Linked DNA regions of Caenorhabditis elegans. The protein of the gene in region 1 interacts with the protein of each later gene in a pairwise test. Each region holds a gene or a part of one and is shown on either strand. Other genes may lie near its edges.

What was found.
Region 2: the proteins of stha-3 (region 1) and prx-14 interact in a two-hybrid assay, tested with the Caenorhabditis elegans proteins (one large-scale study listed by BioGRID).

Annotation. Positions count from the first base shown.
Region 1 is NC_003284.9:11,881,368-11,884,973, reverse strand, and holds stha-3 (Conserved secreted protein), read left to right. Parts: upstream 1-2,056; 5' UTR 2,057-2,091; coding exon 2,092-2,151; intron 2,152-2,250; coding exon 2,251-2,353; intron 2,354-2,403; coding exon 2,404-2,458; intron 2,459-2,501; coding exon 2,502-2,781; 3' UTR 2,782-2,830; downstream 2,831-3,606. Other genes in the region: Y62H9A.7 (ORF12), read left to right, coding at 489-644; ule-5 (Uterine Lumin Expressed/locailized), read right to left, coding at 995-1,082, 1,130-1,312, 1,547-1,821.
Region 2 is NC_003282.8:11,180,928-11,184,859, forward strand, and holds prx-14 (Peroxisomal membrane protein PEX14), read left to right. Parts: upstream 1-2,204; 5' UTR 2,205-2,217; coding exon 2,218-2,474; intron 2,475-2,521; coding exon 2,522-2,804; intron 2,805-2,855; coding exon 2,856-3,092; 3' UTR 3,093-3,368; downstream 3,369-3,932. Other genes in the region: cpt-2 (Calponin-homology (CH) domain-containing protein), read left to right, coding at 42-186, 233-309, 357-777, 830-1,196, 1,806-1,889; nuaf-3 (NADH dehydrogenase [ubiquinone] 1 alpha subcomplex assembly factor 3), read left to right, coding at 3,369-3,474.

The DNA.
Region 1 (3,606 bases):
CGCTAACAATGAATGAAAATAGCTGAAAAACTGAAAAAGTACAAATAAATGAAGAAAATAAAATGAGGCAAACGCGCTCCAAGGATAATTTATTTCAGCGCATATTTAAAAAAAGAAGCCGGGGCACAAATGAAATTCGCGATTTCAAGCTCAAATATAAAATCAGGGAAATTTTTTTGAATTTTTTCATGTTGATTTTCGGAACCAGGGAAAAATTTGGAGTCATTTAAAAATATTTCCCAGATTTGGGTACCCCACCTTTAAAAAAATTACCCTATTGATCAAAAATTTACTTGAAGCATCTATGGAGTTTCTTCTCTATTACGTAGAATGTTGTTCACATTCCTATCTGTTCTCCTGATTTCTTACAACTTTATTTTTCGAGTATGTTTGGCTAGCACCGTTCATTGGTTTTCATTTAAAAAATTAGAATTCCTTTTTATTACTGTAAGCACATTCTATTTTTTATACTTTAAAATTTTTTTCAGTACGAAAAACAACGGAATAACTTGAGATCAACACCGTTGCCAACTTGCCACCATGTCGATACATGGTACAACTTGGATGAAATGAATGTGACTCCAATCTGCTGCTGCGACGCTGATCAAAATCACACTGATCTAGTATTGTACCCATTATTCTAATTGTATCTCGGCTTTCGCCTCCAACGGCCTTCATATTTTTGATAAAAACTAAACCCTCAATGTCATGTGAAAAGAGGTACAAATTTGAGCAAGAATCAGGCGTTATTTGGGCAGCCCTGTACTGATTCCGTACTTATACTCCATTTTTCACAAAATGTAACTGGAACCTTCTCTTCATCTAAACTTTAATTCAAAAAGAAGCATTAAAAGAGTCGGATCGAACAAGTTTTGAATTTTTTAAATGAACCTGGATTTTTCAAATCGAAGAAAACTGTCAAGAAACAACTAATACATAGCGTTATTTACTGAAAATTTTTCATTTCAAAAATGAAATATTGAAATATATGAGATTAGTATTTGTCTGGTGAGGTTGACAACTCGACGCAAACAACTGTTTTGATTTTGACTTCGTCTCCATTGTTAGCCACAACAGTGGTACTGAAAAATGGGACATTTTTATAATTTTTTAAAACAAAACCCGTTACCGGCGACCACGGCATCTTCCCACGACATCGATGTTAACTCCGGTGGCCAAGAGCACTGCGTCTTGGATGGTTATGTCTCCTTGCGAGACATTACTTCCAGATTTGTCGGCAATAATTGCATATGTTTTGGTATTGCTAGGGCAAGAGATTGTTGTGTAGGTTTTTCCGCGTCTTTCCATTTCACTGAAAAAGTTTTGTTTAAGGCAATGTGTGATCTGCTTGAAAATTGCCGAACTAATATCAAATGGTGAAAATTTTCAATTTAAAACAGACTGAATTACAAATTGTTCTATTTAAGAAAAAGGAAAACTTTTGTGTAAAAATAATTCATACTAAAGTTTTAGAACATTTTTTTTAATTCTTACTAAATGCTTTAAAGTCGGTGGTAATTTAAAATTTGAGTACTCTGAAACTCACGAAAATTTAGCTTTAACGCCGATGGATTTCAATTCCGATGGAAGATCAAACTCTCTCAATTTTCTGCACTCTCTTTCTTCACTGCTGTCGCTAGAGCTGGAGCTGGAACGAGAAGAATAGTCGTAGTACAAACGATTATCAGAATTTGCTGGTGCAGAATAGCTTGGATTATCGTTGGCTGGTGGTGAGTAGCTAGGATCATCATTGGCTGGAATTCCGTAACCGGAGGAAGCGGCAGCGGTGCATACAAGAGCAAGTGACAGAAGAAGATACATCTTTTGGAAAGATGAGACGATGGTTGAGTTTGACCGTATTTCATCTTCTTTTTATACAACTTTTTGTTTTTTATCTTCTCAAAATTCAATCTTGTCCGGGACAATGAGAAAAAAGTGATTCACCAACAATGTCGTGACGTTGTGATTGGTTTTGTCATATTTTACTTTTTTATGTTTTGAGAATGAAAATCAAAAAAGGAAAAAAAAACAAAAAGAACGCATATAAAAGAGATAGAGAGTACCCAGTTCAACAACCTTGTATTCAGCATCATGGTCTTCCTCATCCTCACAGTTGCGTGCATTGCCATGGTGGCAGCCGACGGTTACGGAGTGAGTTTTTACAAGTAAAATGACTACCGCATGTGAGCTAGCCTCAAGTAAAGTTTCAGAATGCATTCAGCAATGTAGAGCTGTATTATAAGTTTTCAGGCCGCCTCTGACCCATCATACCCTGCTCCAGGCCCATCTTACGGTGGTGGTGGTTACCCAATCTACTCTGATGAGGATAGTGATTCTCGGGAACACAGAAGAGGTTGGTTGAAATGTGTGCGCTAGTTGCATTTTATAAGTATCTTTTTAAAGATTTCCGTAAGCTGAAAGACTTGCACAAAACCAATGTCGTTGATGCCAGAATCAGGTAGATCACTAAACATATGCAGTTCATTAAATAACTATTGCAGATACTACAAGCATAGAGGAGATTATTATGCAGAAATTAGCTGCCCACGACAATCAGACAACAAGAAATACACATGGATCCTTGCCGACTCTGATGAAAAAATTCCATCATTTGGTATTGATGGAACTGTTGCTCTTGCCGCCGGACTCAATGTGAGATATGTTGCTAAATACTCTCGCCACGGAAAATGGTCCGGCCGCGATATGACAAACAGTGACAAGCAAAAGTTCCGTCGTGTTGGATGTCATCATGGTACTTTTGAAACATCATTGACTGTTTAATTGAGTTTTTATACTATTTTATCATTAAAAATAAATGAATTCTTCAACGAGAGCCTGTGTAGAATGAATGTGAGATAATTTCACCGAAAAGAGTTTGATTGAAAAATCAACACCAAAGACAGCTAAGTTAAGCAAAATAAACAATTCAACATATTTGTCTTTTCCAGCTTTTTTTGTATTGTTAGGAAAATGTGTTCGAGTAGTGGGCGGCAAAGAAAATTTTAAATGACCGAAACTGAAAATTCCCAGAAAATTGACAAATTGACGATAAAACCGCAACTGCCATACATTTTAGGCAGTTTGTTGATTCATAATTTTTTATTATAAGTTTCTAAATTTCTCATTTAAACTAAAAACTTAAGCGCGTCCTACAAATTTTTCTATAAACTAGGGCTCCCATGCGGTCGCCGCGACGGCCTCACGGCGTCACCCACGCCGCATTTATAGTGAGGCGCGGACCTCCGAACGTGTCGACCGCTTGCAAACAACCACCTCTTCGCACTATGTTGCACACACACCAAGCTACTCATTTCACGCAATTTGTTGGCTTTTTGATATTTGCCAACAAATCTTTTATATGTAGTACAACGGTACCTCAATTATGAGAGGAGTCCAGTCAACAGAAATATCATAACTTGGTTCCATGGAAAAACTGCGGAAAACTAACATTTGCAAATTTGATGAGTTCACTTCCTCGTGAAAAAAACAATAGGACTTTTAGAGTGCATTCAGTAAATTGTTCTAAAGGAGCGGATGAAAAAAAAAACTGTCTTACATTCAATAAAGTACAAGTAAAACCCTTTTTAATCTAACGAATGCGAAAAG
Region 2 (3,932 bases), on another chromosome or scaffold:
TTCTTGTAGATTTATAATGGTGCTAAAATATAAAAACCTAGGATCCCTAACGTCGTTGGATCGTGACTCGTGGGCTGAAGCTCGAGTGGAACTCGAAAACGCAGGAAATGGAGAATATTTGAAGAAAATTGATGGTGGACTTTTCGCAATTTGTCTTGATGACCTCAAAACTGAAGAACATAAAAGGTAATTTTAATGAAATAATTTTCAAACCAAAGTTTTGAATTCTCAGACTCGTCCAATCTCTTCTCATCGGAGATGATGCTCGTAATCGTTGGTTTGACAAGTGCTTCCAGACTATCATCGATGGTAATTTTCACAGAACTTTATTAAAAATCATATTTTTTCAATTTTAGCCAACGGTCAAGCCACAATCAACTTTGAACACTCGTGGGGAGATGGAGTTGCCGTGCTTCGTTTAATGGAAGAATCATTCAAGGATACCAACAAAAATCATTTTGTATCTCCAGACGACACTCCAAAATCTCATAATCCAGCACATGTGCAGGCACTCGAATTCAAGCTCACGGATTCTCTCAAATCTAAAATCAGTGATGCTCAGAAGAAACACGTCTCTGCAAATTCTGATCTTGATTTTGCGACAATGGAATTCGAAGGACTCAACAGAGATTTGATCAAGAAAACTAAATTGTCACCGGATTCTGTGATGCAGCTTGCTATTCAAATGGCATTCTATTCTTTGTACAAAGAGTTTGTTCCAACGTATGAGTCATGTTCCACTGCTGCTTTCTTGAAGGGAAGAACTGAATGCATGAGGTAAGCTTATTCCTCAGAATTAAAATATCAAGTTTCAAAACTCAATTTTCATATCGGCAACATCAGCTACGCGTGCCGCCACCTTGGCTATTCTTGAAGAAAATCGTAAAGATGTTCGACAACTATTGACTGATTGCTCCACACAACATTTCCAACTTGTAAAAGAAGCATCAATGGGACAAGGATATGATCGACATTTGCTCGGCCTCAAAATCACAGCTCAACGATTGAGCCAACCAACTCCAGATTTCTTCCAAGATCCAGGATACACGAGAATGGGTCATTTTGTACTTTCAACGAGCACTTTGTCAACGGATACGATTGTCTTCGGAGGATTCGGACCAGTTGTGCAAGATGGATTCGGTATTGGATACAACGTTGTTCCCAACAAACTCGGAGCCGTTATTTCGAGCAATAAGGTTCGTGATTTCTCTATTACCCAGACGCTAAATTTTATACTTTTTGCGTCAAAATTACGGTAGTGGTCTCGACGCGACCTTTTTTTTGTTGCTAAATCCAAACTTTCGTTGCTTCGGAATTTTTTAATCATTTTTTCGATAAGAAATATATGTATATTTAAAAAAAATAAAGCAAAAAAACTGAAAAAAAAAACCAATAAAAACAACAATATGTTGCAACATTGAACACATCGTAAGAAACAAAGAAAAAGTCAATTAAAATTCCAAAGCCTAAGAGCTTTAAAGGCGCACAGCTTTTCGCATTTAATAAAAAAAACTATCTTGTTGATACCCGAAAAATTGTCTAATTTTTTTTTGAAAAAAAAATTAGTCAAAAAATAGAAATATTTAGAAGTTTTTTAAAAGTATATGGAAAAAAAAGAAACTTTTTTAAGAATATAAATATTATCAGATATTATATAAAAATCGAAATAAAACTAAACATCAATAAATTGAGATTAGAAAAATCTTGTTCAGGTACCGTATTTTTGACAAAAAAAACTCGAAAATTTCAGGTTATTATCTTATCTCTTAGAATTTGAAAACATCTTATCTTTATAAAATTTTCAGTCGAAACGTGACGCTGCCGCCTTCTCGAATGCTCTTTACAAGAGTTTGGACATTCTTCGTGGTCACCTTCTCGATCCGAAATAATTGTTTGATGACATTTATGTATTTATAGTGTAAACTACTTATTTATATTCATTTTTCTGTATTTTAGGGTAATTTTTCCTCGCGGTTTCTGCCAGATTTTAACCTAACGAGTATTTTCAGTTTCAAAAAATTCTTGCTTTCACATTGTAAATGTTAATTTTTGTGATAAATTTTTATCAATCGGGAAATCAATGTTTGATTATTTGATTATTCATTGATGGTTTTGTTATCGGTTCAAACCTTTTATTATCGATTTTCACTCATTTTTTAGATTATTCAATTTATTGCCATATGTATTATACTTTTATTTTAAAGCTTCAGGTTGAAAATGACTGACCCATCTAGTTCCCCGATTCGACCGGACATGGTAGAAGCAGCAAGAAAGTTTATGCTAACTCCAAAAGTTAAAGAGACTCCATTTGAAGAACAACGACAGTTTTTATTAGGAAAAGGAGTCAGTGAGGCTGAAATCTTGGAAGCACGAGCATCTATTCCGCCGGAGCAGTTGAGAAGTCAAATTGGAACAGAGAATATGATTCCAATAGGAGGTCATCCGCAAATGATGATTGCTCCAAAACAGAATGGGTTTGTAAATGAAATTATTGATTTCAAAATATCACCGCAAATTTCAGAATAGTATCATTTGCACAATCAGCTGTGGTACTTGGATCGATTTCATATGCTGGATATCGATTCGTCCGATCATATGTTCTGCCCAGATTCTTCGATATTCCTGATCCAGCAACAGAGGAAATTCGTCAACTGCAATCACAAGTCGACGATCTTCAGAATTCAATAAAATTCATAATGGATTCTGTTTCGCAAACAACACAACAGCTTGCAACACAACAATCAGAAATTTCAAGAGCCCTCTACTCAGTTGCTAACAGAGATGCTGATTTGAATCGGGTTGAGGTGAATTCTAGAAGATGGTTTTTGTAATGCTAATATTTCAATAATTTTCAGAGCGGAATTTCCACGATAAAAAGTTTACTTCTCAGTCAACATAATTTTGCTCCAATCGTAACACCTAGTGTTACTTCATCAATTCCATCATGGCAGCAGAGTGCAACTCCAACTTCTGCAACATCAATCACCACAACTACAACTTCTGAAGCAGCTTCCGGATATGCAACTCCTCCAGCCAATTTCAAAGAATCGTCATTAGCTGACGAGTTGGCAGATATTGAAAATATTGAATAGAATTTCAGAAATCTATGTAAATATATAATTAAATTAATCATTTTTAATGCACTCCTCGAAAGCCATTCCCTTTTTCTGTGATTTCTCATCAATTCACTGTGCCTTTTCATTTTTCATGTGCCACATTCCAAAGATTGTTAATTTCATCTGTGATATTACGAAAGAAAATCATATCGACATCTGAACGTTTCATTTCACAAAATGGTTGAGAAACCAGATATAAATTATCAGAATAAAAATGTGTTGCATGAAATAAACATTTGTTATTTAGGCATAATGAACAAATCGTTGATTGCTCTCGGAGCACAGACAGCTCGTCGATTTCTGAGCAGTTCATCAAAAAATACGATAGGAGGAGGAGATGCGAATCGGGCAGACACTGGTAATTTTAGGTTTTTTGACTAATAAAAAATGTATTTATTTAGCATCCGTTACTTTTCGTTTATTCCGTTTTGGATTCGGCAAAAATTTGTAAACACTCGATTTCTGATATTTTTCCAATTCATCAAACCTGCAGTCACGAAGCTATTTATACGGTACTCGGTCTCGACACGAAAACTTTTTTTAATGCAAAAAAGTACACTCCTTTAAATAATGAGTGCTGTAAATTCCCACTCTCATTTCTAAGAATTTTATTCCATTTTTCGTAGGTTTTCTCAAGATTTGTTAAAATTTATGTGTTTTTATTGTAAAATTTAAGTTTTTCATAAATTAATGTGTATATCTTTATAGAAAAACTATGAAAAATTGATAAAAATTCAACATCATGATGATCAACGAAAGTTTGAAACTACAGTAATCTTTAAAGGTGCACACCCTCTTGCACTCAACAAGAATTTG